5 linked regions of the Oryzias latipes genome follow. The protein of the gene in region 1 purifies or fractionates together with the protein of each later gene. This does not show direct contact. Links are inferred from orthologs where the notes say so. Each region holds a gene or a part of one and is shown in the gene's direction. Other genes may lie near its edges.

Region 1 (6,945 bases):
TCCTGTTCTGGCCGACCAAGTTTAAAAGAAAAATACTCATGTTTAATTACTTTTTTTGGCAAGTTCTTTTCTTCCCAGCAGCTGTGTTTCTATAACTCAAGAGAGATGTTGCCTATCTTTGACCTTCCCTGGAGGCGTGTCAGGAAAACCTTTTGCCATATGAGGGGACCCGATGCACTCGCATGTCCCCGTCTGACAAAAAACAGAGCCTTAAAGCTGAGATGAAATCCCTCGAGGTGTTAAGTTTAAGTTACATCACTTCCTCTAAGTCAAAAAACTTTTTTTTTCTTTTGCACAAATTTACCTTTTGTAACTTCAGTTGTCCGAAATAAACTGTAACTGCTAAATTACTCTTTCATTGTTTCATAATGTTTCTCCCCACATCCAGTTAGAGGTTTTCCAAAAGGAACTCTTTGGCCCCAGGCAAAAATGATTTAAGGGTCCAGAGTCAGTTTACCGTGTCCAGTAAAAAGCTTCTAAATGGGACGTGCTGTGCACGCTCCTTCAAGATGCTCTTTTATGCTTGAACGTGTGACATTTATTAGCTGTTAGAAAATGATGTGTTCTTGTTTCCATCCTAAAACCCTTTTTCCATTTTTTTCCTCTTTGTAGAAGTTTTATTCTGATGCCTAGTTTTGCTATAATTTTTGCTCTTTTGCCAGGAGCAAGTTTACGAAGGAGGAGGGGGCTAGCTCTGAGGGAGTTTCAAAATACCTCATGGGTTGCTTTTTCTGTAATGGATCGCAGAGTTTGTGGCTTTTGCTGTCGTTGCTGACAGCTCCAGACTCCCTCCATGATGGTTTTCAAGCATTCTGTTGACTGGGCTATCCAGCATCTCAAACAGTCTGATGCTTCATGAGGTCCAAACACAAAAATCACTGTTCTTGGTTTAATTTTTGAAAGCTTTTGTCAGAACACTGCTGGTCTCATTGTGATCTTTTTATTTTTTTTGTCTAATAAAAAAAATTACCTTTTACTTATTCTGCTGTTCAATTTTTGAATGATTCTCCTTCAGGTCGAGTGAATACCGATACGCTTCAGCTCTAAAAGGTTCTCTAGAGTTGGCGGAGTGTTTATAAAAGGTTGGTCCTGACTTTTTGAGGAGCCATTGATCGTCTGCTAAGCATTTTTATTTTTAAAAGGTAGATTTCTTTAAACTGCCCTCTGACTCATTGCCTGCATGGCCACAAAGTTCTAATAAGCTCTGATTTGAAGTGAATTAAAAAAATTGTGGCCTGCATGCAGCAACTTACAGGCGATAAAAGTAAATTTTCTTCAGGGCATGCCATGTTCTCAAATGATCTCATGCCACTCTGTAAAACTGCAGGTTTATAGTCTGACAGAGGACTTTGGTCACAAAGTTGTTGCTTTTGTTCTTTTTTACGGGATTTCCCGGCCCTTACCTCACCATTAATGTCTTACGTCTTTTCATCAATGATCATAATTCCACTCATTTTTTATCTTTGTGATATAAATGTAAACTGGTATCCTAAATGTAAAAGAATATCGCAGTAATTATCCATATTGAATTTGTTTATGTCTCAACATTTCCTTGTCTTCTGTGATAGAAATCCTAACCTGATATGTTTCTGTCTCCATTACGCTCTGCAGGGCTGCTTTCACAGGCTTGACATTACTTAGATTTAAGGCTCAGGAACCTTCCCTAAAGCTTTGTTCTTCCTTCCAAATCCCTGAGAAGTTATTGTCGGAAGCTTTTATTTCTCTTCTTTTTATTGCTTCGCAGTTGGATCATGGAGTTTTGTGTGTTTGTGTTCTCATGTTTCTTTTGAAACTAGGTCTTATCCTCACAAAGACAACTGAACTCATTCTTATATGTCTAAAGAAAGCATTAGTTGTACAGTGGGGGGGGGGGGGGGTCTTGTTCGATGATTCTGTACGTGGTCCTTCTTTAAAGATCAGAGGTCTGTAATGTTTACCACAGCCACACTTCAACTGTGAGAGACAGACTGAAAAGAATTATTCAGGAATTCACATTGTGTGATTTTTAAACATTTCATTTCTACAAAGGTGCTGAAATAAGAATTTGGTCAATCAACTTTACCTCAATAATTTGTATCGCAACCCTGGTTTCAATGACAGACGTCATATGTTTCCTGTGGGTCTTCACTAGGTTTGAACTCACTCTAGCTGCTATTTTGGTCCATTCTTCCTTGTAGATCTTCTTAAGAGCTGAAATGTATTGGAGTTGTTGCTGGGCAACACAGGGTTTCAACTCCCTCCCTATATTCCTGGTAAGAGGAATAATGTGACCTTGGCCCGCCGAGAAGTTGTTACATTACAAACCCAAGCTTTTTCAAATGACAAGTTTTTTGTCTACTCCTGATCCAAAGACAATTTGAAAAAAAGAAATCGTCAGAAAAGCAATTTTCATTTAAATTTTTTTTATACATGTCCTCCATCACAAGAAAAAGACTAAGAACATTTTAAAAACACAATTTTCATTGGCATGGATCTTTAAAACAGTTATCCTGTTTCCTTTGAAGAAAAGCGGCCCCAACGCATGATGCTTCCACCATCATGCTTCACAGTCATTGAGAAATTCTTTCAAAATATTTTTAATAACACAAAAAAACTAAACAATGAGAAAAACTAACTGTTTTGGTTTGATGTTTTCCAATGTCTCTGCAAAGTTTCCATTGAGGAATTAAAGTTTGACAGCTTCCAATAAAATTATGTTTAAATAGCTGAAACCAATAATTAAATAACTATAATAAAGTTGTCAACCAAAATAATAAACCAAGCTTGCAAGTTTTCAATTGTTTTAATTAATACAACACAAATTAGAATGTACTTAAATACAGATAAATATTATTTAAATAAAATATGAATCCGTAAAAACCCTCACATGGTTTTAGCAGACATGTTATATTAGACTGTTGGTTCTGACCCTGTCTGCCGTTATCGGATCTGTTGTTATTACACAGCAGAATTCGGGGTGGCGCGCGCCCGTTTCACTGGTCGGAAGCGTACAGTAGAGATGGCAGCAGAGCCGTAGTAGACTGCGAGGCCTGTACGGTTCCCGACAACCGCTACGTGACGAGCAGGGATTGTAAATGGAGGAGCGAACAAGGTAAAAACAACACCGCCCGTGTTCTTTCTTAACCCATAACACACCAAGTTCCCCTCACGACGGTGAATGTGTATTTTATCCATTTGACTTTGCTTCCCGTCATGGGGGACAATTAGCCAAGCTGCTAAGTAAGTAAGTTAGTTAGCACGCCGGCTAGTAGCTGGTTGCTAACTCTGTTAAGTTTGTTACGTTAGCTAGCTAAAGAAGCTACACACCTAAATAATAAACACACGATAAAGTTTCTTTATGCGTCCTAATATTAACACTTCGATATGTAGGCAACCATTATTAATGGCAATTTAAAGGCTAGGTATCTATAGCCACCATAACAATACTGGGAAGCTTTATTTTAGACTCAAAAGAAATCAGAAAATATCACTCAATATTCGTAAAGGAATAAAATAAAATGGAAAACAGAAAAACACTAAGCAGTCAACATCACGGATAGTGTAGAAAACTGAGATCCTTCCAAAACCTCCCAAATGGCACTTCAGGAATCAAACGTCACTAATTTGAGGATTTAAAAACACCAGTTACAACAGAATTATTGTGTTTAACGAGTCATGCATATGGAGCAGGAGAGTTGTTTAAAAAAAAAAGTAAGATAGCTTTTGAGGTTACGTTATAAACTTTAAATTAAATGTAAAGCTTGGTTAATAGTTTTAATTTCATTGTTGACAGTGTTTTGTAATTCCATGTTGTAAATTGCACTTCAAACAAGGAATTGTATTATTGTTTTGTAATTGCTTGATACATACTGTGATATACAAGTCAATTTATAAAGGTTTTACAGCTACATTTGCAATTGCATTTGAAAATACATTTTTTAAGGGGGAATCCTTTATTTTATTAGAAAACCCTCTTGATTTAATAGATTAAAAGAAATTTTCCATATTCCTTTATTTTCATTGTACTGTCCCCTGGTGCATTTCAAATACACTTTGCAATTCAATTTAATTAACTGTTTAGCCTCTCCTTTTATTTTTTGTGTGACGTTCTGGGGCCTTATAGTAGAGGGAAACTGGTACTTGAAAGTACCCCCGCTCTCTGATTGGTTACACTGTGTCATGCTGTCATGGCTACCTCTTAGAGCAGAGCTGTCCAACCTCTGGTCCTCAAGGTCTACCACCCTGCCTTGTTTTACTGTTTTTCACTGCACCTCTCTCTGCTGACTCAGGTGTCTCCTTGTTCCGCTTAACTGAACTCACCTGATCCGGGTAATCAGCCGCACAAAGTGGAGGCAGAGCTGGAAAACAGGCAGGCCTTGAGGACTGGGGTTGGGCAGCCCTGTTCTATAGGATCATGCTCTTTAACACCAGCTTCTTTTAGTGAATTCACATAGTGGAAGCCACAGCAGTTCTGGATTTTTGGGCTTCAATAACTAGTGATAATTCATCCTTCTGATCACAGATGCAGGTTGTTTATCTTATTGACTTCATTACACTCAGTAGTCCCTTTGAATGAGCTAAAACAACTACAACAGGTGTAGATTTTGTGAGAGGTTTCTTTGCAAGAAAAGCTATTATTGTAGATATCTGATGATTATTTCATAGTGTTAAATCTAAAGAGAAGTAGGGCTGTGGATTATTACTTGAGTGGCAATCTGATTCATCTACAGAAAACACTTGATAGCTTTACTTTGATAGCTTTACTTTGAAGATTGATTCACTTTCTGTGACAGTAGCACAGGTTTGTTTACTTTATATTCTTAAATCCAGCATTATTCAGCAATTTTAAAGTGATAATTACATTGCCTGAAATGTATTTGTATTATACTCTTCTATGTTTATAAAGATCGCAAATGAATGATCTTAAACGTCACAAATATCTGTTTTAAATTTTTCTTGTACTGATTGTGGATATTCTAGTTTCTAGATACTCCTTACAGCCCTTGTGAGAACCTTTTGGCAAAAGCACGCAACATTTTTGATCTTAACAAGTTGTGCCTGACTCTACAATCCATTCTAATTTTTGATCTTTGGTTGTTGTTTAAAGCCAGGCTTAGATTGTTCAGTGACTGTTTCAATCGTCTTTTCCCACACAGCTTTAAACCGGTAAAGTCCTTTTCTTTGGATATCAGTAAAACTGCTCCGTTTCTATGACATCAAGGATTCCTCCTCCTGATCTAGAATTCCCTCTGCAATGCTCATACTGCTGACATGCGGAGTGTGTTGAGGCTTTGTCATTCATCAGCTTCCACTGATCACTTCCCACAACAGAAGCCAGCCTTATCTTTCTGTTCAAGAAAAAAAATTTCACACTATCGTACCAACAGAAATAATTCTCACACACTGATTGATGTCTGATCCTCACATACATATAACTGAGTAAACAACGGCTGATTGATGGCTGCCATGTTTTTTGCAAAGCATTTTAGATAGGGCTGCAGCTATCGATTTTTTTTTTTTGTAATCGATTAATCTAGCACTTGATCGATCGATTAATCGAGTAATCGGATAAAACGATTTGTGTGTGTTTTTGAACAACCAAAACAAATAATGCATAACAAAAATGATGTGGTTGTAAAATGAACAAGCATTTGGCTTTTATTTCTCAACAGAGGTATTTATTTCCAATTCCAAAAGTTTGGCTCCAAAATTTAAGTGCCAAGTTGGCATTGCCAACAATTATAGAACAATGTACAGTTAAGTGAACTTACAGTAACATGTATAACATGTATTGTAAAACTAATATGAATATAAACTTAGTTTTTTGTCTTCTTAATACACAACATTACAAAAAAAGGATTGCACCTTCTGCAAATTTAGTTTAGTTAACCTGGGAACAAAAAATGAATATAAAATATCGAGCCAAACAGGTACACAATGTATACAATGTATAAAAAAATTATGTAAATAAAAGAATTATAAACAATTATAAATAATAAGCTGTAATCTCAAAACAAACATCAAAATGTACGTGTTTGTGTGCGTGCGTGCATGTGTTTGTGTGTGTGTGAAGGGGGTCTTTTTTTAGGCTATACTCTCTTGCAATTGAACGTGATACGTTTACTACTTTAAAACATCATCAAAGTTAAACATCATATCTAGTCAAACCGCATCACGACATCGCTACAAATGCAGTATGGGATTAAAATCAGCGAACATCAATAGGCTTAAACTATGTTAATTTACCTTGTTTCAGCGATGCTTGGTGAAACAGCATAGAGTGGATGTCTTCTGTTCAGATGCTGAATCATGGAAGATGTACTGTTGTCGTATGCCAGCTCTATTTTGCCGTGACATCTCACGTTTTCTGCCGTTTACTTATAGATCTATTCTCCGCCATCGCACCTACTAAATTCAAAAGGCCCGTGTGAATAAACGGTCCGTGTGACACAATCAAATCCCTGCGCCGCGCGTATGGTGCACGTAGGATTTTAACGAGGCTTCGAGGCAGAGTTTTTGCCTCAAGGAATTTTTGTAATCGAGTAACTCGAGTAACTCGAGGAATCGTTTCAGCCCTAATTTTAGAGACTAAAATTAATTACAGGAAATATTCATTCCTATTTAGTAACATTTTGCAATATTATTATTGGGTGAGAGGAGAAAGGTGTTGATGAGTTGATCGGTTTAGATGGAGCATTTGAGGTTATCATTTCAGCATTTGTCAAAAGATCTGTGCATGATGAGAACTCAGAAAAACACTTATGTTCATGTGTCTATATTATTTTTAATTTTTGGAAACATGCAAAATATTTCTGAAGACTGAAAACATTTTACAAGTTTGCAGAAAATCTTTACAGCTGTAAATCTCCTTTACACACACTCAAATATTTTTACAGCCATCAATCCTTTTTATACGAGGATACATTGGTATTGCAAAAGCAAAAAACCTTTCTGCTATTACAACTT
Region 2 (6,672 bases), on another chromosome or scaffold:
TTATGAGTGTAGTACAGTGTTTGTTTTCTAAAAGCACCAGCCTTGCATGTGACTAATGTGTTTGGCCACTTTGATAGCATAAGATGCTGAAATCAAAATGTTCTTTTGTGAAACCAAGCGCCGACCCACTTTGGGATGCAGGAGGCACCAGGTCAGAGCAGGGTCACAGTCAAAAAGCAACGTGTTTTTGAGCTTATCGGCACCGCGATCGGACTTTAGGTGTGGACTCTAAAAGGAAGCCTTTATTGTGGAGGCCTTCCGTGAGGAGACCTCAATTCTGCAGGTCTGCTTAAACACAGACATCAGATAACGTGTCACATGCCTGCTTTTGTCTTTCTTCCAAGTGTCTCACAGTTAAAAAAAAAAAAAAAAAAATGATGTACAAAACAGGCTAACAAGTTCATAAATAAACTTCCAAGTTTAATTAAATTATTTTCAAGTGGTTTAAGTCTATTAAAGAAAGTGTGATTCCAGTGGTTTAGAGCTCAAAGATAATGTTTTTTGTGTTAACTTTTCTTGAATTTTTCCCCCAAATATAAACAATTACAGCAATTTTCTACCCAAATATTAGTGTATCGGCAGCACATGGCACGACACCACAGAAAATTTATGTTCCAAATGATCAAAATAACGTCACTTATAACGATCAAATGATCAAAATAACGATCAAAATAACGTCACGTCTTTGTCGTTTTTCTTCATAAAATTACATAGTTGGGGTGTAATTACATTTTTTGCCGTTTAAAGGTTTCATTATGTAAAATCAATCAGGACTGAACATGTGCTCCTAAGCCAGCTCTACATAAACAAAAGAAAGCAGATATATTAGAGATTTTACAGCAGAAGTTTTTGAATCATCCTTTTCTTTTTTTGCAAAAATGTAAAAAAAATTGTTCTAATGATTTATTGTAATCACTACAATTCTGATGGGCCTGTATAGATGTGGTGACGCATTCAAGGTGTACTCCGCCTTTGGCCTTAAAAAAATTAAGGGATAGGCTCCAGCCAGCATCTTTTTGACCCCCGTGCAGGCTCTCAGAGAGATGAGCCTTAAACATTTGATCTATGGCAGGTTAAATTTATTGTATTTGAGAATTTAATGTTATAAATTCTTTCAGTATTTTTTGAAAGTATGTCCTTTGCTTATTTTTATGGCTGTCATTTGCTGTTTCAGCCACAAGAGGCTGCAACTTGTCCACAAATACAGTATGATAATCTTCAGTTTTCACATCTGAGACAGTTAAAAATCCTGACAAACTTTAGCAATAAAAGGCAGAAAATCAAAGAAGCCCTGCATGTGTTCTGTAAAAAAAGGCCTATGTTTGAAAAATTAAATATATATTTACATCCAGGAAAAATCCTTTGTTTGACGTCTTTAAAAATGTATTTTATTTTTGTAGTTCTAGATAACACTTTTTTTTAAATAAGTACAGTTATTAAATTAAAAAAAGAAATTCTCTTTTAATGGCCTTTTTTTTTACAAAGTGTGAAAAAGTGTAAAAGTTTAACATTGCAACAAGTAGAGATAATACAAAAAAACACTTTTTTTTGTTGGTACTTTTGGGATAAATATGGATCAACATATATTTAAAAACGTGTTATATTTGTCGGTTATTTGAATTTACTCCTTCACAGCGTCGTTAGCACGCAACGGCGGAACATAAAAAAGAGAGGGGGGCCCTACTTTGTGCGTGAGTCTCCCGCGGCCCCTGGAAAACCATTAAACGCAGAGGACTTCTCCCAGAATTCCCGCATTCCTGGGATTTCTCCACTCTGATGTCAGAACAGTGGGGGCGGGGCTCTGAAGGCGTCTGGACCCAATGAGGCGTTCACGTACACCATCAACGCTACCAGCGCTACCAAAAGAGTTTTCAATTTATTAAATTTCAAGCAAATAGCATATATTGGCTACAGTAAAATTTTTTAAGGAAATATGAAATTTAAAATCTAATTATGGTTAAACACAGAGGTGTTCTGAGGTTATTTGTTTATATCATTACACAACTTTATTTTAGTTGCAATTTTAAATGACCAAGTGCAAAAAAGGTGCTTTGAAATAAAAAGGAAAGAGATGTATACATAAACATAATAAGAAAATATAAAAATCATATGGCAATGAACTAAAAAAAAGAAGAAAAGAAAGAACAAGGAAAATCCAATATCCAAAATATAATGAAAAAAAAAAACAATTAAAAAAACTGCATAAATGAAAGATGGGTAAAATTCTCATAAACACAATTTTTAACCCGAAATTTGTTTCAAAAAAACAAAATTGAAAGCACAGATTAAATACACATTTTTATTTAATTTATGAATAATATAAAGTTATGACTAATGATGTAAGAATGCATGAGAAATGTACTTAAAAAATATTTAGAAAAACACCGATTAAAAAAATAAAAAGGAACACGTTTAGTAAAAATCCTTATTCCGATTATTTTCTTGGGTTTTGAACGCAGCGTATTCTGTATTCCCCGCCCGCCCTGAACGCCTCCATTGGACTGCAGGGACCGCTACTATAAACACACGAAGAGTTGCAGCGAGAGAAGAGCACATCTTTGGCCGATCTGCACGACTTTTACCAAAGTTTTGCGCAGTTTTTGTGCGCCATGAGAGCATCAGAACAAAAGAAGTTCCGAAAAAGCACCAGCTTGGGGACGCGCAGCAGCTTTGGTGGCGTTTTCTCTCAATCATTTTTCTCTCTTGTGAAGTTTGAAAAGACTTTCGACATCTCTGCTCCCCAGTCGGAATTTTAAACTGCTTTAAAAAAAAAAGGCTCTTCTGAGGATTAAACCCACTCCGCGGCGAATCGCCTCCAAAACCGAGGAGATTTGGAATGTAGCGCAAAGGAAAAAAGAAAAAAGAAAAAAAAAAGGTGAGTTTGAGTTCTGAGGAAAAAGTTGGACATTTGTGTTTTAACTATTTGAAGTTCGTAGCAAGGATGTGTTGACTTTGAAAAAAAAAATAGAGGAAACGCTAACTGTGTAAATCAGTCTTGATGATACAAACATTTAAGTTAAATTAAGTATCACGGGAGAAATGACTCTCCCCTCATAGATCAACACAGATAAACACACAGTTTGGACTCAGGCTGGGTAAAGATGCTCACAAAAAGATGCGAAATGGAAGAAAACTGATGACTTTTAGGGGGATCAATCAGAAAGTGTCATATTTTACCTAAAGAAAACCCATCAGAGATTGTGGTGGTCCCACATGGAGCCCGGGAACTGATCCAGTCAGGGTAAGTGAATGCACACAGGTGTGTCTGGAACATGTGGAGCTGAGTTTGAGCAGAGCTGCTGATGTTTTTCTGTTGGTCTCTCACACCCTGGCATTCATGTTTGTGTAGAAGATGTGTTTGGACATGCATTTCTATGGACTGCCACTTCAAACAGGCAGAGAGGCAGGCAGGCAGGCAGGGAGGGAGGAGGTGGTGGTGGTGGTGGTGGTGGTGGGGTTGCTGTGTGCTCTGAAATGGAAAAGAAAGGATAGTTACAGCACGCGCGCATCTGGTTATCTTTATGAGCTCAAAGGCACGCTGTTTAAATTACATAGTGACTTGGGAGTACACCCATGTGAAGAATTTAAAGGACTAAAACATGTGAAGCATGAGCACCTATCCACTTCCTGCTCCACACACTCCATGGAGGTGGCTGAGGTGGTTCTGCAGCAGCAGCAGAGGAAAGCAGCTGAAATGTGCCGTTCCTGATTTTCACTGAAGGTCAATCCCCACAATAGGTGTTTACTGGATGCTGCCGCCCGGCAGTTAACAGCCTGAGCGGTTATTGTTTGTGCAGCCAATTGTTATTTAAGGACATAGGCCGTTTGATTATAGTGTGGTGCAAACATAAATGTCATTTTGGCCGAATGCTTTTGGCAAGCAGAAGAAAACGGGCATCAGTGGTCACTGTTATCACTAAAGCACCACTCCGGCCACTGTTGAAGAAACAGACGGACCGAACGGTTGGTCCAAATGGGGATCAATAGAAGCATTTTTGCCTCCCCATACTGCCAAGGATGGCGGCTTTGAATAGAGCGCAGAGAGCACACTGACGGGTCTGTCAGTGACATGGCGTCTGATTACCAACAAGACCATCACATGTGGACTCGTCTGACCTCAGAACACTGTTCCACTTTGAAACGGCTCCTTTTTAAATGAATCTTGACCTAATGACACACTGCTTCTGGGCCCTGTGGCTTCCTTTCTGCAGGATGGAGCTTTTGGGCTCACCCTCAAACCTTTCTGCTTCCTTGAATCATTTGGCAGCATCATCGACACAATCACAAGGAATGTTGTCTTAAATTGTCCCTGACACACAGAGATTTCTTCAGTTTCTCTAAATTGTTTGTTTATCTTCTGCTTTGTAGAAAATAAAACTTCTAACCCATCTACAGTTTGGTGTTGAGGAATGTTTTTTAAAAGTATTTAAAGGCCGTGTTTTTAGTTATTTTTTTACCATGTTCTTGTGGTGTTTTTCTCATGAGGAAATATTGAAAAAAAATCTAGCTTAAAGTTTCAATTCTGAATTTTTTTTTTTAATTAAAATATTTGTGAATCAGGAGGGGAGCCGGTTTAGCTCGTGCTGGTTTGCGGCGCCTTCCGTCCGTGAAAACCAGGGTTCGACTTCGGGCTGCTCCCTGTTCCCTTCTGTGCCGGTCCCAAGCCCGTTTGCTTTGAGAGGGTTGCGTCAGGAAGGGCATCCGGCGTAAAACATTGCCAAGTTTACTATGCGACTCGTTCGCTGTGGCGACCCCTGATGGGAAAAGCCAAAAGAGAAACATTTGTGAATCAGGAGTCCTTAGACTGCCTTCTCCGCTCCCTTCTGATGCATCCATGTTGATCTTTGTTTTTCCTCGTCTGAGCTGGAATCTGGCTCAAAACCGTACAGCTGGATAGCTTCAATATTGCTCGCCATTTCGCCATGCAGCAATAATGTTTGGTTGGGGTTGTGAGGGGCTGCACGCTAGCCAAAGAGCACGTAAACGGATGGATGAAGGGAAGGGGGATGTCTTACGCCGCACCCACTGTTCTGCCCACAACTCAGAGGCAAAATTTCTGATGGACTACTGCTGCTCTGCAGAAACTATGTTCTATAGAACCACACAGGTTTTTTGATTTAGGCTAAAAACGGCATAATCATAATTAAGAGACGACTGGGAACGCTTTGAAAATGGATCATAAGATGATCCGAGTGGGACTCTAACAGTTATTAAAACACTTTTGATGTAAATCTTGTTGCTTAAGGATTAAAAGACCACCTCCACCTCTGTAATCATCCTCCAGATCTCCTCACCCCCCCTTTCCCCCATTCTTCTGTGCCCTTACCCCCTGTCACTGACATCCCTTCCTTCTTTCCTCTTCTTCTTTTCTGTCCAGTCCAACGAAAAAAAAAAAAAGAAAATACAAATGTTCGTTCATTCATTCATCTTCTGTATAGTTAGCTCCCGTTCGGGGTCACATGGCTGCTGGAGCCTATCCCTGCCACTTTTGGGTGAAGGCTGGGGTCGTCAGTCTGCCGCAGGACCACGATCACACACCCATGCACACGCACATTCACAAACAAATGTAATGAATATAAATCAAGTTTAGCCTAAATTACAGAAGTGGTTTACACAAATGCACATATTGTGTGTCAGAAGATCCACAACCTTCTGTTTTAACAGCAAAATATGTCCAACACTTTTACAGATCAAATGGCCTCTTTCATTCTTTTCATTCCAATACTCTGCCTCTACAAGACATTCATTTTTATGATAATTGTGTCACAGACCTGACATCAATTAACCTAAGTAATTTTTTAACGTCGTGGCTTCAGATTGGAAATAAACTTCATTAGTTGATGAAGAAGATGCTGTTTGGTTTAGGGTTTTAGTTGATTTATATATTTACTCTATTAAATAAAAACATCACAACTTTTTTTTTTTTTTGCTTGTGGGTCAGGGGCAGATTAGTCAGCTCCCAACTAGCAACATGTTAAGGTATCCTTGGACATGACCCTTGAACCCTCAATTATGTCTGGTGAGCTGGGTTGAGTGTCATGGCGGCTCACTCATCAGTGTCAATAAATATTAAGACTTTTTCAAGTATGTGCCAAAATGTAGACAAGAAGCAGGGAGAAAGTACTTTGAAGACCAGTGGATAGGAAAAAAGCTAAGTTTAAACCTTTTTCTGCACATTTGACTTGTATAACTGGGTTAAAAATTCTAGATTGAACCCATTTTAACATGCCCACAAGGACACAAGGTCCTTTTTTGTAAATGAGTTGACAGAGAACCAGTTGCAGTGCATGCAATCTGTATATATAATAATTTGAATATTTTCTAAAGGTCTCATTGTAATTTACTTCATTTAAAGCTTTTTTTTTCAGATATGAGAGCAGATTATACCACATAGTTGCTTAAAAAACAACAAGAAGTAGCTTTGTCTCGGTAGTTTTGTTGGTCTTCTTTTAAGAAAACATATTAATCGGATCATTTCATCCATTTTTAAATACCTAGTTGTTCCAAACTTGCCCATAAACCGTTAATAATCAGTGTACAGTGAAACATGCTGCCTGCTTTCTGGTGTTTGACTTGAATGGGCATCTGAGCCTTTTGTCGTAGGCTATGTGCTCCCTGCTCCCTTCGTCATCCTGCTGTGCACAATAACAGAGCAGAGAGCATGTAGCGACC
Region 3 (5,508 bases), on another chromosome or scaffold:
AAACTTTCAATTCTTTGTAGCATTTTTATCGTCCGATTTGTGCCAGTATGCTTAAATCATCAAGAGATTTTTTACACAAAAGTAGAAATTCATATTTTTGACTCCAAATGCTGCTTCCTGCCTTCGTCTTTTTAAAAAAAACAAAAGATGTCCTCAAAAAGTGCAAGCGATCACATGGCCCATTTCAGCTGCCCCTTTGTGTCAGAGAAAAAAAGGGCCTTTTATTTTGAAAAGGAGGGTGGCCGAATCTGGATCCAGGAGAAAAGGAGCTGAGCTTAAAGGGCTGAGGTGACAGATGGCCGGAGGCTGCCAGCCAGGCAGCTTATCTCCAGCAAGAAGAACCACGGCACAAGCAGTCTGAGAGTGCGGACAAGCAGGTGGGGAGGCAGGCTAAAGCTTCAGCAGGCAGACAGGCAGACAGACAGACAGATGAACAGTAAGAATTCAGGTGTTAGGAAAAGGGACACATGGTCCTCGGGAGTCTGTCACGCAATCGATAAGCTCCGCACTTTGTGTCACAAAATGAACTTCAAAAGGAGGCCTTTCATGAGGAAAGAAAATGAGGGTTTTTAGAAATCTCCATGTTTAGCTGGCAGTGTGAGGTGTTAGCTCACCTGCTGTTTGGACAATCTGTGAACATTTAGATGGAGCAGTCCACCCATCTCCAGTTTCACTAGAGGAACTGAGCAGAATGAGTTTGTTTACCTGTAGGGGGGATTGAAGCTGGGCAGAGAATGGTGATGGTTTTATAGAAATGGCCATTTGATGTCACGGTGTCATACATGAAGAGCAGAATGCTGCATTTTATGACAAAGTGCTAAAAAGTATTCAACCGTGACTGATTAGCAGCTTGTCTTTGAGTCTATTGGGTCTGTTTATAGTCGGTCTGGTGAAGCGATATTTGCCTAAACAAAGGATCGCTGTAACGGCGTTGCTTTACTGGCTTTGTAGCTTTTTCTTCTGCTTGGAATATTATCAGTCAGTGTTTTTTTTTTTTTTTTTTTTTTGCAGTTTTTCCTTTTATGGTTTTCTTTTCTCCGATGTGGATAGAAGAAGCCCGTGAGGCAGTGGAAGCGGGGCAGTTCGTGCAGTCCTGAATAGCAGGGTGTTTTCAGGCTGCAATGACAGGCTCAGACAGGCAGTCTCTCTAATGACCTGTGACGCCAAGCTCTGTCTCCTAGCAAAAACAAACACGCACACACGCAGAAGGCCGCACAGGTGAGCGCCGCTTGAAGGCTCACTGTGAACTTTTAAGAAGTCTGAGTCCTTCTCTTTATCCACCTGTGTGTCTAAAAGACATGTCAGGATCGGAGGCTGACATCTGCAGGAGACACAAAGTCTTATCTGGGAGATAAATCCCTCCTTTTCCCCCCGTTTAGATCGCTGGATGTTTTGTTTTCCTGTGCACGCCATGAGATTTAAAATAAAATCCCCCTCTGGCTCGGTTTGGTCCAACTTCAAAGGACACAAGCCCTTCTTGCTTTATGGAGAAGCATGCTTTCAGTTTGCGCCCCCCCCCCTTCCCCATCCTCGTCTTCCTCTCCTAATGTTGTCTTTTTCCCTCCCCTCTCCCTGCATTTAATGAAGGCTAATGACAGGCCGTGCTAAGTCAGCTTGGACCGGCAAAGATCCTGCCGCATTACCATTACAGTTAGTCTCAGACGGGACCTTCCAAATTACCGGTTACATTCCCAGCTACTGCCAAATGAAAGAGGGAGTCAAATGAGAAAGATGTGTGCTGGGAGGGACTTTGTCTCCCCTCTTTTTTTTATGTAAAAACTTGTTTCGACGGGAAAAAAATCCAGCAAAGAGACAAATCCAGATAAGAGAAGTCGCAACAAAGAGGTGGGGACCCTTCAAAAGCTTCAAAGGTACCTAAAGATCAGGAGAGGGAAGCAAAAGTTGCAGAAGTAACAGTCAAAATATGTGAAAAGCATTCCTTCTCTGCTCCCCGCCCCCCTCCCTGTCTCCCTCCATTTCCCTTGCGCCTGACTGGCTCCCACTTTTCTAGCTGAGAGCCAGATTTCTGCGGAATAGAGATATGAAGGGCGAGGGGGGGACGGCACAGGAGGCACTCCGAAGGGGGGGAAACAGGCGAGGGGGGGAAGGAGTTTGGAAACTAGAGCATAGCCATTTCTACACTTCTTTTACACCCAGGGGAAACTTTAGACCGGTGAGGCCTTGCTTGTCAACGGTCCAGACACCAGAGTTCGAGAGTTAACGGCCTGTCTCAAACGTCTGCCGCGCATGGTTTATGTGTTTGTGTGAGAGCTCTTCATCTGGTTGCCGCCAGAGTCATCCTAGCTTTATCTTTGTCAATCAAAGATGGGTTTTTATTTTTATTTTATATCCTCCAGCAGAGTGAGAAGTGTTGCTGTAGAGACGATGAGGACGGTAGGCTGACGTCAGTACATTGTTGGCAGTGCTGCTACAAAAATACAGTGAGCCAGACAGAAGATAAGCATTTAATGCCTAGATAAATATTGTAGTACATGTGGAAACTTGCCTGGCTGTGTCTCTGGGTTGATTTTCTTGTCAAAGATCCAGGAATTCCGACATGGCTTTCCTGCATGGCAGAAATTGGGGAGGACAGTTTTGTTTTGGCTCCCGACTTAAGAGAAGTCGCAATTTCCCAAAACAGTGATAAAGCATACTTTCTTCCGTTGCAGCAGATTTCCTTTTAGATATATTTGACATTTGAGTTTTCTATCCACTTCTCTTTGCACCTCTTTACTTATTTACCATAATCATTGATGTTACTTTTTTTATAACATTCTATGCTTCCTCTTTTTCAGATTCTTTGGCGTTGCAGGACTCTGAGCGAGGCTATTGGTGCGTGGTGGCTTACTGGGAGGAGAAGACACGCGTTGGGCGCCTCTATTCGGTCCAGGAGCCCTCTCTGGACATTTTCTATGATCTACCTCAAGGGAACGGCTTCTGCCTGGGCCAGCTCTGCTCCGACAACAAGTCCCAACTGGTGCAGATGGTGCGGAGCAAGATCGGTTATGGCATCCAGCTGACACGCGAGCCAGACGGAGTGTGGGTCTACAACCGCAGCTGCTACCCTATCTTCATCAAGTCGGCCACACTGGACAACCCAGACTCACGCACGCTGCTGGTGCACAAGGTGTTTCCTGGATTCTCCATTAAAGCTTTTGACTATGACAAGGCCAACAGCCTCCAGAGGCCAAACGACCACGAGTTCACGCAGCAGCCTCGCACAGGCTTCACGGTGCAGATAAGCTTTGTGAAAGGCTGGGGACAATGCTACACCAGACAGTTCATCAGTAGTTGCCCATGCTGGTTAGAAGTCATCTTCAACACCCGATAGCAGCAGCCTTTTCCCTCGTCACCCTCATCCTCGGAAAAAAAATACTTCACCCATCTTTCTTTTTTCGTTCCAGCGGCTCAAACACAGAAAAAAAAGGATTTAAAAGAAGAAGAAGAAAGTTTAAAATCCTGACAGACTTTGTTTCATAATTGACTGAAATTTAATTAAAGAAGAAGTGAAAAAAATGTATTTTATGTTAAATATAAATATATTATTAATTGTAAATATGAAGATGTTTTATATGCATCATTATTTATGTATTGTGCAATGTGTTGATGAGAAAAAAACAAGATGCACTTTGCTTAATATAAGTACAAAAACAAAGAAATGCCAAAATAATAAAAAAAAGCCAATAATATTTTGTATTCAGTCTCTTTGGTTTTTCCTTCTTTTGGGGGGATTTTAACATTATTATTTTACCAGCCTTCTTTTTGCACAATTTTCAAATCAGTTCATTAAATTGGATCCACATGTTCCCTCCATAAAGCCCCTCTAATTTTGTCTTCTTTATAACTAAAGTCAACATTGGCTTGACTTAGTGTTACTAAAGGGCTTTTAGGCCATGCCGTGTATCTTAAAAGCAATTTCCTCAAAGACAAAAATGAGTCAGACTTTGACAGAATCCCATCTCAAAGCCCCCTGTTTCTACAGCCTCATCATGCCTAAAAACTGTCTGTTTTCTTGAGTTATTTGGGGAAGAATGTCTCTCATCTTCTCTGTCATTACCTGACTCATGACATCACAGCCAGGAAGCGGTAATGGCGATTGTCAGGAACCAATAAAGTCAACAGTGGGTCCAGGTTTCTAAAGGAACCAGTTTATTCAAATGTTTGGTTAAGAGAAAGGATGAAGATTTTTTTTGTCACATCTATGAAAAGTAACTATGGAGACAAAACTAAAGTCTTTGATACTGACTATGCCGTGGACGCTATGGCCTATTTATGAACGCTTAAAGCTCTACAAACGAGACAAACCAGATCTAATAAACACTTAGTATGTGTGTGTGTGAGTCTGTCTGGACCTCGTCCTGTTGCTAGTCAGATGGGTGTCTGTGAAGAGGATTATTACTGTAAGCCTGCTTTACCCATACACTGTCTCAAAGCCCTACATTCACAAGACCCACTTTCCACACCATCCCATATCTACTCTGCGCTCTTTTTAGAACGGCAAGAACGACTTTTTTTTAACCCTTGTGCTATCTTAGATGACCCCACCCTTGCATTGACGTGTTCTCCCTAGCATGATAAAGGTGGGGAGGATTTCATGTAATCCATGGACACCAGTGAGGATCACAAATCATTGAAGAAAAAAGGTTCAGAGCACTGTCTGGTGGGTCTAGATGACCCAACTCCCAATGTTAAAGTGCCTAGGATAGCACAAGGGTTACACATAAAGGTAAAATGGAATTCAACGATGATTCTCCATGATGAAATTAAGCCCAAACAGTTATGAACTTGAACCTTTAGTAGATTCCTACTCTTGCATTCTTTCCCATTTAAAAAAAACCTGTAGTAAAACAACTGATTTTTCTTTCAACAAAGAGGACCCAGCACCAAAACAGTTATTTTACATCAGATGTAAACTGTGCAAGCTAAATGTTCCTCTAGCATCTCTGGACAAATCTCAAAATGACACAAAAAAAACCGGCTAAAACCCTCCCAGCTGTAATCCCTAACCTTTCAAATTTAGATAAAGTAGCTTGGTGCTTTGGGTGCGTGTGTATTTGTGGTTACATGACCCATGACTTCCCTCAGACAGGATGACCTTGTTCTATAATTCTATTAAAACTGTTACAGGATTTGTAAACAACCTTAACAAAACACATGTTTACTTTACAAATGTTTGCATCAATATTCTCTCCGAAAAACCGCAGCACTTTATGAGCTAGTAAATAAACCTTTGGGATAAAACTTCAACAAATGTAGAGCAATTTTCTTTAATTTGTTCAAATCAGATGCAAATGATCAAGTAAATTGTATTTTTAGTAGTCTAAAAAAGTAGCATATTAATTACTTACCTTTATTTTTACATTCAGAGCAGTTGACAAAATGGCCCTCGTGAAATGGCAGCATCTACTGCTAAATTTCACACGCTTTAGATGAAATTAAAGTTATTATAAAATAAATGTCTAAAATGTATTTTTCATCATTAAAAAATGTTTTATGCTGATTCTAAAA
Region 4 (5,902 bases), on another chromosome or scaffold:
TTGTGTCAGACAAAGGATTCATTGTAATTAGAAAGCAGGAAATGAGAGAAGCTATTGTTCACATCGGCAGCACGATGGCAGAGACGAGAATCATCTGCACAAACTGATTGACGGCTTTCAGATTAACATTTTTGTTTTACACATCTTCTTTTTGCTGACCGATGTGTTTGTATTCTCAGGCTCCAGATGAAGCAGCAGAAGAAATTAATCTCAGTCAGAAAGTGCCTATTGCTACACCCGAAGAGACGGCACCAGCACCAACCGAGAAGGAGGAAGAGAACGTTCTCCCTGAATGGAGTGAAAAGGTGGCTAGTGGAATCTTGACTGGTAAAGGCACACTTTTTTATTTAAAGTTTGTTATCCTTTCGTTTGGTGTTTTATCCATTGGTTATCAAATATCGGTCAATAATCCTGACTGACTCGCTGTGTGTTATCCTGTTAGGGGCATCCTGGTTGAGCTGGGGTCTGGTGAAAGGGGCAGCATACACTGGCAAGGCTATTCACAAAGGGGCATCTATGCTCAGAGAGCACATCACACCAGAGGACAAGCCCACCCAAGTCAGCCCCACTGTCACCAAAAGCCTCCACGTGGCAAAACAGGCGACCGGTGGAGCTGTTAAAGTCAGCCAGTTTCTAGGTAACATCTTCATAGTCATGAAAAGTTTTTTTCACAGAGTTTATATCCGGGTTTTATTGTAGATCTCTAACGGAGCGTTGTTGTTGTTGTTGTTGTTGTTGTTGTCGTTGTTGTTGTCTCTAGTGGATGGTGTTTGTACAGTTGCTGGCTGTGTGGGCCGTGAGTTGGCGCCTCATGTCAAAAAACATGGAGGCAAGCTCATCCCCGAGTCCATGAAGAAGGACAAGGACGGGCGCTCAAACATTGATGGAGCGATGGTTGTAGCTGCCAGTGGCGTTCAAGGTAAAGCAAAACAGTTCTTTGTTTTCCTTGAGATGTATGTGGAACCAACTTCATGTTGACGTTCAGAAACTTAAGCAGAACTAGTTTAAAGACCTCAATCCAGTTTTTTGACTTAATTTTATGTTTTTACTGGATAAACTTGTGTAAATAAAAAAAGGAATAAATTCATGAATATGATCGCACATTTAGATTTTGTTGATTGAACAACTTAATGTCAAAGTGAATTCTTAAGATTTTCATGAAAGGCTTTACTTTTTTTATTGTCAGGGTTAGCAAAAGTTAAGCAGAGAAAACCTTTCTGTTGCTCTTCCTCCACCTGCTTGGCCACAAACTCTTCCTCAAAGAGTTGATTTATTTTCTTCTGTGATTTTTAGATAATGATGCTCTAAATCTTTAGTTTAGTAAAAAAATAAATAAAAAAGTGGTCTTAGACTTGGTCTTAATTATATACATTTCCAGTAAGTCAACTCAAAGCACATTGTAGGAAAAAAAAGCAACATACTTAGGTAATGTCTGATGGATACAAATCTAAGAAAAAGTATTGCAAAAATGTCTTCTTACCAACCAAACATGATTTCCCCCTTTTGGATTCAAATTAAATAAAATAAAGTTTGTAAATAATCTCGGCAGAAAAACCTGGGCATGAACTAATTACTTCAATTAAATGATGAAAAAGAATGTTGCATAATTCTTATTTCTTCTTTTTATTTTAAGATGCATTTTAAAGGGAAAGAAACTAAAAAAGGTAAAACGTTTTTAAACTGTTCCAGGTTTTATGGAACGTTAGGACTAAATTCATAAGAGAAGTTCTGATGAGCTTTGAAATGTCATTTTTAACCATGCTTTTATTTTTGAAAAGTATTAATTTTTCTATTAATTCAAGACCAAAAAGTGATACAAGTACATGAAATACTTGAGAGAAATGTTTGAAATAAAAAAACGTTTGTTTTTGATCCACTGAACTGAATCTGTGCATAAACAATTCACTGTAGATCAGTATTATCTATAAATAAATAAATAAATAATGTAATCATTTGTAAAATCTAAAACTTGTGTAAGTGAATATGTACATTAAGGGTTAGGTTTTAGTAGGAAAACTCAGTTCTGTGCCCTAGTGGGAGGATGTCTGCCTCAAGACACTAGACTGTGGGTTTGAATCCACAATTGGGTCATTGGGTCATACCAAGAACCAAAAAAATGGGAGCAAATGTTTTCAGTTTTCAGCACCTCTAAAACTTCCACTTTAAGATTTGTATTGGGTAAACCACCAAATGACTCTTATTGCATATCATTTATTTGTTGAAAAGTTGAATTTTGAACATAATGTGTGCTGGAACCATGTTTTTGTCTAGGATTTGCGACCATGTGGACCGGTTTGGAATCGGCAGCCAAGGACATTGCTTCAAGTGTTGCAGCAGAGACGGTCACCACCGTAAAACACAAGTACATTTTCAACGTTTTTCACCTGCTAATTGTGCCCGCCATCATAGCTATATTTTGATTCAGATTATGTTTCTGCACCATATTACAAATAACTAAATTTTCACTTTTTTTGTACATTTTCAATTTGCTTTGCAGATTTAGGGGCCTAGAAAACGTCTTCGACACACCTAATGAGAAGACGTGTAACTAACTATACACTAGAGATTTTACTAATCACTTCATTAATCGCATATGAATAATTTAATTCTCTGTTTTCTTAACATTTTGCTTTGAGGAAAAAATGCATTACTTCCCTCCCTTCTGTGTTAATTCACTACATTCCTTTACTTTAACAGAATTTATTCTGACATAAATGTCCTAATTTGGTAATAATTTAACTATAACATCTTTTCCTGCTTTAATAACACGTTATATGCTCCGATTTTAACGTAACAAAGTTGATTCCAGCTGATTCCATTCTGCTGAATCACCCAAAAATATTGATTTTAATGAAATCTTCCTTAAATAAACTTCTTTTGTTTCTGACTTGGTGGGAAATCAACATTCAGGAGGTCGTAGTTATGGTTTCTATGTCCATGTGAAGAACAGAAATGTGCATCTTTTAATTTTCTGGTCATGCCTGCCTACTCTCAAACATTAATTGGACTTTGAATTTTTACAAGTTTGTATGCAAATCCTGCACTTGCATGACCCTCACATGGATATTTCCTTTTCGGTGTCTTTTCAGTCCTAAATCACTGCATCTTTCTTTTGCTCTAACCTCTTACCCAATCTGACTTCCAAGGTACGGGGCCGCAGCGGGACAGGCCACAGACCACGCTGTCAATTCAGCCATAAATGTCGGCATCACTGCCTTCAACATTGACAACCTCGGGATCAAAGCCGTGGTGAAAAGAACGGGCAAGCAAACGGCACAAGCCATCCTGGAAGACTACAGGCTTCAGGAGAAACCAGAGAGCGGGAAGCAAGTAGAGAGTTTCAAGAAATAGTGCTGTCTGACGGTGTTACCTCAGCTATGCCTTAAGAAGGTTACTAATACAATATTAAAGAGAGAGCTGTTTATAAACATCTTCTATATTACAAATGGAACTGCTATGATTTGCATATCTTAATTTATACAGATGAGCACTTTAATCTTTGTGATATAGAACAGCAGGATTTTAACGTGATTGTATAAATCAAACCAAAATATCACTTTACTGTTAGAAGTATTATTTAGATATGACCATTCAACATGAAAGCCCCTATATTTAAATCTGTTTATTAAAAACGTATATATTTTGAATTACTCTTCAATAACTGTCATTCATAAATGTGTGTTTGTAAGTAAATGACTAACCAAAACTAAATATTTTTTATAAATATTTCTTCAAATTTCATCTTGTCTGATATGTTTGGTTGCTGTGCTGACTGTGCCTTTACACAATAAACCATTTTGGAAGTTTGTAAATGTTTGTATTCTGAAACTTTCTTCTGGAACATTCCTGATGAAGTCAGAAAATGGTTGTTGGCTCTTTAGTCTAAATGTCAGGTGTCTAAAAACATGAAATATTTATGTTCAGCTGCTATACCTTCAAATCTGTCTAAATCTGATGTGCTCTACACTAGCCATGTACAATGAAATTTTCTCCTAAATAAAGATTTATTTGAAGTAAACATGAAAATATTTAGTGTTTTTTTTTTTTAAACCACTTAACAAGATGGGTTGTTTCAACTTTTAAGGCTGTGTCACACAACCGTACATTTTAGGCATATTGCATGGATGAAAATTGGTCATTTGTAAATACTCGTCGAAAAGATTTGTGGTTTTTGAAAGAATATTACCCTCGGTGTAACTGTCAGGGAGGGGAAAACAAAGATACAGCCTTATCTCTTTTCTTCCAAAGAATGGGAAACTTAACAATTGAGACAGAAAAGGATTCATTTTGTTAGAATTTCCCATGACATCTGGTCCAGTCCCATGTCTGATCCAACCATTTTTCATAGACTGCAGTGAAGCTGATCCTTCCACATCGGCAGCATTTGTCCCCGGGGAAACAGTCGATTTGTCCAACAATATTGGCCAGGCGTCCACCGAGGTCAGGCCGTCAGCTGGAGCAAATATTCGATCCATCGACTGTTGATGCAGGAGACAACTGCAAATACACTTGTTTGCAGATTCTCTTCTGGATGCAGCATCCCAGTCAGGGCTGGGGGATAAATAAATAGATATAATGCACCAAGTTGGTACCCTGCAGTCACTCCTGACTATCAAATTTAAAAAATGTAATAACTTTCTTCATTGGTTTCCAGAGATGACTTCTCAGAAAGTTGAGATCAAGTATTTTTAGATTAATTTTATTCAAACTAAAAAAATAAATCTGTGTAGCTCTTGTGAATGCACCCTGTCCTTGTTGACATGTTAACCTAATGAAAGCGAAATAATTGTTCACGTAGGATAAGATCTTTTGCTGCTGACATGAGGACACATTAGACAGGTAGCTTATTTATTATTTACAGACATTAAGTGCAGTTGTATGTGGTCAGCTGGAAAAATGCAGAACCATAAACAACATGTTCTGGTGAGAAATACCACTGATTTTCCACTATAAACAAAAATGTTATATAGCAAATGAAAATCTTTTTTTTTCAATTTTTAGATTACAGTAAAGACCACACACAAAAATAATGACCAAAAAAAACTTATGTTACACTAATCTTTGCAAGAAGAAACTTTAAAACTCACTTTTTTCAGCAGAATAACAGTTCTTCTGGTAGTTTCCCCTTTAGACTCATTAATAAAAGCCTAAAGTCTAAAGAATGCTGATTTTAACTTGCTTGTCTTTTGCCAAGATGCTGTTTATGAAGTTATAAGGAATTCACAAGATTATTGACCTTCTCAGAAACAAAGAAGTTTTTCAAAGTCACAACCTTTCTCTGTCTTTATGAACATTTTAGCCAAATTACCTGGTCAGCAGACCTGCATGTAATCCTTTAGACAGAGGATAAGAGTACAGCATCAGCGACTGGACAGAAGCCTAACACTAATGTAAACGCTGGCATAAAACTGAATCAAGCCAAAAGTGCTGACAGCAATAAATGCTATGTTTTTAATGGCTTCCTTTGTGTTTAGGTAAACAGTAACTTACTGTTACCTGTCCTACATAGAGATCACCTGCTCATAGTGCAGCTCAATTAATCTTAAAAGTCTAGGCTGCTGTTGGAGCAAGTGAAAACGCATTCCATCTATTCAGTACAACTGTGAGAGATGAGCAACAACATACCTATTTGTTGTACTATCTTTCATTTTACTGTTAGCTTACTGTCTTGCAATTAATTAATTTAATATTTACAAAATAATAAAAGGGACACAAATTTAATTTGGTTTTTAAATCACCAAAGCATGTAAATTATTTAGATCAATAACTTGGAGAAGAAAAAAAAAAAGTCTATCAGTTTTATCTGTTTAGAAATGGATTTAAATGTCATTTGCTGAGCAATCCTGCTAGAATGCTGTCTTGTTGCCATGGAGAACTGCTTCTCCCATCTGTCTGAATTACT
Region 5 (6,705 bases), on another chromosome or scaffold:
AGATTCAGGAGTTGCTGAATTAATTGTACGGCGTTTGTTGCGGTCTGCAGTAACCAGAATAAAGAACCTTAAAAAAGGGTAGGGTTTCCGTGCCTCAGTGTGGGAAAGGGACACTACATTGTTGTATGGCTCTTTCGAAATTACATTTCAAAATATGTGGCGTTTATGGCTCTCTCGGCCAAAAAGGTTCCCGACCCCTGAAATAGATGATGATCATCCAGTTTTTTTTTTTGTTGCTTCTATTTCTTTTATTCTATTTCCTATGACACACACATTTCTTACTGTAACATGTTTTGTGTTAATAAATCTTAACTTAATAGTTTCTTTTTTAAAAGCTGATTTGCGTAATTTCCCTGTTGTGAGACTTGCAATTTTAAAAACAATGTATTTTTATAACAATTGGTAAATATAAAGACAAAATTTGCTTAATTTTATTTACTGTTCTTTAAGATCTTTCAACACTGAAGCTTATTAAGCACAAATCAAGAAATAGTTCTTAGAAAATAATTTAATTGAATAACTATATATGAAAACTAACCCTTGTGTAATTTAGTGCAACTCTTATAGTATTTTTTCCTAAAACCTCTCTAATAGTATTTCCATTGTGAATATGTCATAATTATTCAACAGGTCTATATCATACAAAATCAACCTTTTGAGTTCTGAAGTGTATTATATTTGTTCATTCCTCATAATAAGAAACCCCAAAGCTTTTTTTTTTAAATCCGTTCACAAATTTCTGAGTATTCCTCTAAAAACTTGTACTCTGAGCACCAGCCTCTCCCAGCAAGCAGGTTCTCACAAGCTGGCGTAGACCAGTGAGAACAGCCCCTTCCAGGAAGAGTCTGCACTGCCAGCACCACCCCCTTGCTAAAACAAAAAACACACACTTTCTCCATGGAGCTATAGCGGTATTTGACAAAAACACTTTCCTTTTATATGCACAATATGCACACCCATCTTTGCAAAAGTTTGGATGTTTGTTTTGGGGGCGAAACGAAGAAACACCGCTGAGGTTGACTATAGGTAAGTCACAAAATGTGCGGCACCCACACAGAGAGAAAGCCAGTGCCTCAGAGAGCAAGTCGCCTTACTTCTGAGTAAGACCAAAGCTCAGAAAAATAACTCTGTACAGTTATTTACAACTCTGTACTTTCTGTACATATTGTACATTTTTTGTTGTTGATGTGAGTACAGTATTTCTATTTTATTTTATTTATCTATATCACTCCAAAGCTGCTGCAATTTCATTGTATCATCATGTACAATGATAATAAAAAGATTCTGATTCTCATATTTCACTAAAAAAAGCATACTTTTGTGTGCCAAAATTAATATGAAATCATATACATGGATATTATTTACTATAAAAGGCTTAAGAATATAGTGTAGGCCCTTTAAGATACACACAAAAACTAAAAATACCAGACTATTTCAAAATAAGGATGGATTGTACTGGAATTGTTTCAATTCAATTAATCAAACAAATAATAATACTAAAGAAGAAAAAAAAGGTGTATTCATTTAGGCATAGGTATATCAAACTTAAGATGATTGATCATCATTCAATTGGAAATTTAAATGAAGGATAATTAAATGCCATTATAATTAATTCTAATCTTAGACACAGTTCTGTTTAAACATACAATACATGACACATTGAATTCATTACATTTAAAGTTTGTCGAAACAGTTAAACTAATTGCATGAAAAGGGGTGGGAGGAAACAAACCTATATACTCCAATGGACCCCTATTATGATTTCCTTTACTATTTTACTTGTTTTTTTGTTTTTATGTATTTACCATATCTGGTTTGCAACTTCTAAACTCCTAACATTGCATTAATCATCATAAGTTAAGTATCAAAATGGAATTATTTCAAAATTGATACTTAAAAATGGCTTGTATTTTCATACATGTTTCAATGTGTTTTTAATTTTATTTATAACATTTGTTATTATAATATATAATTTATTAATTCAAAATAAAAATAGAAAAGCTTTTCAACGCATCCCACTGGGAAAGGTTAACTGATGGACTTGGCACCAACAACTTGTGCAGCAAATCATTAGAAGTCATAAATGTGTTTAATGTCAGGCTGCGTTCAATATTTTATGAATTAAGCTTTTTCATCTTAAGTATTGAAACTCCCCCTGGAGCACATTATATCTGACAAAGAATCATATCCTCCAGAAATATATTTAGATAATGAAATAAACAGAATTGCATTGAAAGCCGTGCGGCTGAGAACTGATGGATAAACAGTAAAAATACTGAGATGTGCATGGGAGTGACTGACTGAGAGCCCCCTTACAGCACAGATCCTGCATGCATGCAAATAAGTTTCAGAAAGTTTTTGCTTCAAAAACCGAGAGGTGACTGTTTCGCCTTTAAGAGTTAAGAAACTTGAAACCTTGTTTGCGCAACAATCAGTGCAGCTCACAGCCGCCAAAGTGTCTAGACTAGCACATGATGGTAGTCAGCCAATGGCTCCACCGCTCTCCTCGGGGGCCCCGTGTGTGTGCGCCAGTCTGTGTGAGTGTGTGTGTGTGTGTGAGAGAGAGAGAGAGAGAGAGAGAGAGAGAGAGAGAGAGAGAGAGAGAGAGAGAGAGAGAGAGAGAGGTAGAGTGGGGAGAAAAGAAAAAGAGCGAGAAACGGAGAAAGAAAGAAAGGGATCTAGGTTGCAGTTTGGTCCAGGTCTGAGCAGAGACGCAGGCGCGCGCTTCAGCCACGGATTCGTGTAGTTTCCGCTTTCATGGAGGCTTTGGCTGGGATTTAAAAAAAGAAAAGAAAAAAAAGAACATCTTTAGAAAGCGGAAAGGATCTTTTACTTCTGCTGTATTTTCATTGGATTTAATTGGATTGAAGTGGGCTGCCTCACGCTCTGCGCGCCGGTGTAGAAAGTAGATCCAACAATTCGGGGAACTGTCATGGACTTGATCTTAAGGCTGCTCGTTGGGATTATGTTACTGGACGTGTTGTGTTGTGTTGTTGCGTGTTTTTAACAAACACACTGAAGGGTCCACTCCGCCTGGACAAGAAGCCAGCGTCTGCAGCCGCTCCGTAGCCCCAGCTGAACGCATGCCTGTCAGTTGGAATGCTGCAGTACGTTTGCGTCGCGGGTCGGTTGTTGTAGATGCAACAAACTCGCCTTTATTCTAATGCACCGTCAGTGCTCATCGGTTGGCTGTGCATGCACTGCACGGCGGTTCGGTGTCATTGATGATTTGCAACGACAGTAAAAGTGTGTGTAGTCTATCCGTACACGAATAACCCCCCTTCTAGTAGTTCGAGGTGTCGTATGTTCAGGACGAAACGCTCAGGTCTTGTGCGGCGACTGTGGAGAAGCCGTTTGATCCCAGATAAAGAGGGGGGAGATGGAAATGGCACAACTAGTGAGGGCTGTCGGGACGATCTGTTCGGCAACAACCCGGAGAAAATTCCCAAAACGGAGTTCAGACCGATGACCCCGAGTGGGTCCTTTGGAAGAGACTTGGGGTGCGTGTGCCCCGTGGAGAGCAGCGGCTCGGGCGTCACGTCGGACCAAGATGAGGGCGCAGTGTGCGTCCAGGAACAGGGGAGCCCCCGCTCTGTTCAGGACAGCGAGTGCAGGACGGTGACGTGCTGCTTATTTAAAGACCGGGACCACTTCGAGGTTAGGGGTCCGGAAACGGCTCAGGGTAACAGGGATCCAGGGTCGTGCCACTTCATGCTGAGGAACCTTGGAGGAGGAGACGGCGGCTCTCCTGACGCGCACGAGGCGATGCCCCGCGTGCTGTTGGAGCAAGAACTGAAGTCCGCCACATATTCTCTTTTGAAAAGGCTAAAGGAGAAGGCGCTGGATACTTTACTGGAGGCAGTGGAGTCCAGAGGAGGGATGCCGAGCGAATGTGTCATGGTTTCCGGGACGGAGCTGAAGTTTGGTGGACATGCGGCGTCTCCACCGCTGCTGGTGTGTAAAGTGTACCGCTGGGCTGACCTCCAGCACTCGGCTCAGCTCAAGCCACTCTGTGAGTGCAAGAGCTTTGGGGCCCTGGACTGCCCCACTGTTTGCTGCAATCCCTATCACTACAGCCGGCTCTGTGGGCCAGGTAAGACCCCCCCTGCAACACATCCTTTATGATCAAACTGACCCCCCCAATGTTGATCCTGCAACTTAATTTTCTATTAGTCTACATGATATGAGAAGCATGTGGCCTAAATTATGCTGTAAACCTGTATTGTCACTCAGATTAGAGTTTCATCTGCTCTCATACTTTAGAAGAAGCATCATCATCTTCCTTCCTTCAACATGAAGCACAGTAACTCCAAACTAACCAAGGACAGCCTGGTTGATAGTATGCTTTTAAACATTTGAAAAGAGGCTCAGAAAACTTTTTAAGGGCCTAAAAATCTTCCCATGACAGAATAAAGCATGACTTTGGCCTACAGCATCAGAACCAAGTGTTTGTCCGTTTCCAGCACTCCTTATAACCCTTGTCACCTTATAGCTTTAGATCATCTATATATCTATTGTCAGTTCAGATGTTTTTAGTTGTTTTTTTTGAGTTTTTACCCCCATATGATAAGATTGTCCAGATTCAGATGTTAGTTCCTCTCCATTGAGTTGGAGTGAGCTCCTCAAGACACACAGACTCCCTGACCCGTATTAAACGTATTAAAACTTGGCTGCGGATGGGGCCTGCGATTTAGTTTAAACGCTGGGCCACTCAACCCCGCTGACCCATTGACAAGGCTTGGTGTCATGTGTAAAGATGCAAGCGTCAGTATTTCTGTCTTCTCACTGGCATTGAAGGCGTATTTTCCATAACATCCACGTTGTCCAGAGCCAGCGGGCTGTTGCAAACATTTTAAAGTCACAAGTTCAGCACTATCAAAATTCATATAGTTGGGAAATTGATGAGTTACTGGATCTCAAAAGTGGAGCAGGCGTCAGAAATGATCAGACTCAAATACAGTAAAGTTTTATCATAAGTTATTTTTTAAATAAGTAAAACATTTTTCATGTAAATTGTTGAACATTTGGTACATCTGCATGTGAAGCGCAGGTTTCCTTTCCACTAAAACCCCCAAGATGAATTGTGAGGAGAGAGGCACATTCCCTGCACTGGGACTGAGGCTCATAGTAGACATAGCTCACATGCGCTCATGCGTGGCTCAGTAGAGCTGGTATTTCTTTCACGCTATTCAAAAAGAAGGGGGGCTATGAATAAAGACTTTAATTACTGGTTTAGATTTTGCAAAACCAGAATGTAAAACATAGAGACTTATATCTAATTATTACACAGGTAATGAAAAGGCTTTGAGTCAAAAGAAACTCATTCCTCAGGTTTAATCTTGTGCTTTATTTTAGCATTATTTTCTATTGTTTGAGTATATGAAAATAAAGTTGTCCTTTAAAGTTTTTTCTCTCTCAGAGACTTAAAAAACAAAACAAAAAAACAGGCAAAGTACTTAAAGTACTGAAGTGGACAGAAACTTCTCCTTCCTAATTTGCCAGGCATTATACTTTTCGAATGAGATCAGTTTCAAGTTGCGCTTTAAAAGCCCTTTTGTCCTGAGGAGGTCCCCTCATGCCATTTAGGTGAAGGAGTGGTGATAATATACAGTTTGCATACTACTGGCGCCAGACTGACTAGCTGTGTATCTGAGTGACTGAGTTCAGATCCTGGCAATTACTGCCGCCACTCTTAAAGGACCCGCTGCTATTATGCTTTTCTCCTTCCCATTTTCCCTGCAGGCGAGGTCACAGTGTGCTCACAAAGTTTTCTTTTCTTTGTGCTTTCCCTCTTGTGCAAGCTATTTTCCTCACTTTTTTTTTATTAGATGAAATCAAGATCCTGAAAACACTGAATTTGAAAAGTAGAGATTAAGTTAAACTAAAAGTTATCGTCAGACTGCGGTTGTAGAAAATAAACTATTCTGGTTTAATAAAAATGCTTAAGAACAATGAACAAATAAAAGTCTTTTGTGTTGGTTTTAGAAGGCTTTTAATCAGCTTGGAGCCTAAAAGACTTGAATTTATAGCAGACTCTAAAGTGTGAATATGTGGTCTCTTGCTCTGAAATGGAACTATGGTGTTGAAGCCTCCCTTGTGGTTGAAATTTAGTTTTGTATTATATCATTCTGTTCCTTTTATTGAAGGCTTTGAACATAGTTTTACGCAGAATCTGCTATAGTAAGCTCATTCTCTAAAGTTTCTAAAGTGGATTAAGGTGTGCACTAAAGTTCGATTAGACAAGTTCCAAATATATTAAACATTTATTTTTTTCCAAACTTAACTGATTTTCTTGCCTCGAAATAGCATGCTGTGATGTTAGCGTTGTATTATAAATGTCAGCTGGATCTTGTCAGACTTCAAACAGTTAAACAGAATTGTGTTTGCACGGGGCTGGCGTTTGCAGAGAAACTTTGGTGATTCTGCAGCAGATTTTCCGCCTAACCTTTCCTCCTTCCTTTCATTAGGTTATTGATGTTGCTGTTTTGTGTTACAGAGTCACCCCCACCCCCATATTCAAGGCTTTCCTCTAATGAAGAACACAAGCCACTGGGTAAGTTTGACTGTCTGCAAATAGTTTATTTATGTGGCGGCTAAAGCTTGTTTATTTTTTTTGAATGTGTGATCTTGAAGTCTTAATATTTTGCACATATTATTTTCCCCTAAGCAGTATTGCACAAAAATGCAATAAGTCATATTGGTGAA

What was found.
Region 2: the proteins of wwp1 (region 1) and ptpn14 purify together in Homo sapiens (affinity purification with mass spectrometry; 3 studies listed by BioGRID). This does not show direct contact. The link is inferred for Oryzias latipes from reciprocal best matches to the Homo sapiens genes WWP1 and PTPN14.
Region 3: the proteins of wwp1 (region 1) and smad7 purify together in Homo sapiens (affinity purification with western blotting; 3 studies listed by BioGRID, with this or other methods). This does not show direct contact. The link is inferred for Oryzias latipes from reciprocal best matches to the Homo sapiens genes WWP1 and SMAD7.
Region 4: the proteins of wwp1 (region 1) and spartin purify together in Homo sapiens (affinity purification with mass spectrometry; 5 studies listed by BioGRID and IntAct, counting the BioPlex papers as one, with this or other methods). This does not show direct contact. The link is inferred for Oryzias latipes from reciprocal best matches to the Homo sapiens genes WWP1 and SPART.
Region 5: the proteins of wwp1 (region 1) and smad6 purify together in Homo sapiens (affinity purification with western blotting; 3 studies listed by BioGRID, with this or other methods). This does not show direct contact. The link is inferred for Oryzias latipes from reciprocal best matches to the Homo sapiens genes WWP1 and SMAD6.

What each region holds. Positions count from the first base shown.
Region 1 is NC_019878.2:10,305,341-10,312,285, reverse strand, and holds the start of wwp1 (NEDD4-like E3 ubiquitin-protein ligase WWP1), read left to right. Parts: upstream 1-2,958; 5' UTR 2,959-3,091; intron 3,092-6,945. UniProt on the Homo sapiens protein: E3 ubiquitin-protein ligase which accepts ubiquitin from an E2 ubiquitin-conjugating enzyme in the form of a thioester and then directly transfers the ubiquitin to targeted substrates.
Region 2 is NC_019882.2:9,165,015-9,171,686, forward strand, and holds the start of ptpn14 (tyrosine-protein phosphatase non-receptor type 14), read left to right. Parts: upstream 1-2,478; 5' UTR 2,479-2,875; intron 2,876-6,672. UniProt on the Homo sapiens protein: Protein tyrosine phosphatase which may play a role in the regulation of lymphangiogenesis, cell-cell adhesion, cell-matrix adhesion, cell migration, cell growth and also regulates TGF-beta gene expression, thereby modulating epithelial-mesenchymal transition.
Region 3 is NC_019870.2:9,745,774-9,751,281, reverse strand, and holds the end of smad7 (mothers against decapentaplegic homolog 7), read left to right. Parts: intron 1-2,795; coding exon 2,796-3,331; 3' UTR 3,332-3,667; downstream 3,668-5,508. UniProt on the Homo sapiens protein: Antagonist of signaling by TGF-beta (transforming growth factor) type 1 receptor superfamily members; has been shown to inhibit TGF-beta (Transforming growth factor) and activin signaling by associating with their receptors thus preventing SMAD2 access.
Region 4 is NC_019871.2:8,300,761-8,306,662, forward strand, and holds the end of spartin, read left to right. Parts: intron 1-179; coding exon 180-327; intron 328-442; coding exon 443-637; intron 638-760; coding exon 761-919; intron 920-2,271; coding exon 2,272-2,362; intron 2,363-2,497; coding exon of another isoform or gene 2,498-2,552; exon of another isoform or gene 2,553-3,146; coding exon 3,147-3,351; 3' UTR 3,352-4,026; downstream 4,027-5,902. UniProt on the Homo sapiens protein: Lipophagy receptor that plays an important role in lipid droplet (LD) turnover in motor neurons.
Region 5 is NC_019864.2:16,416,054-16,422,758, reverse strand, and holds the start of smad6 (mothers against decapentaplegic homolog 6), read left to right. Parts: upstream 1-2,650; 5' UTR 2,651-3,303; coding exon 3,304-4,093; intron 4,094-6,496; coding exon 6,497-6,553; intron 6,554-6,705. UniProt on the Homo sapiens protein: Transforming growth factor-beta superfamily receptors signaling occurs through the Smad family of intracellular mediators. SMAD6 is an inhibitory Smad (i-Smad) that negatively regulates signaling downstream of type I transforming growth factor-beta.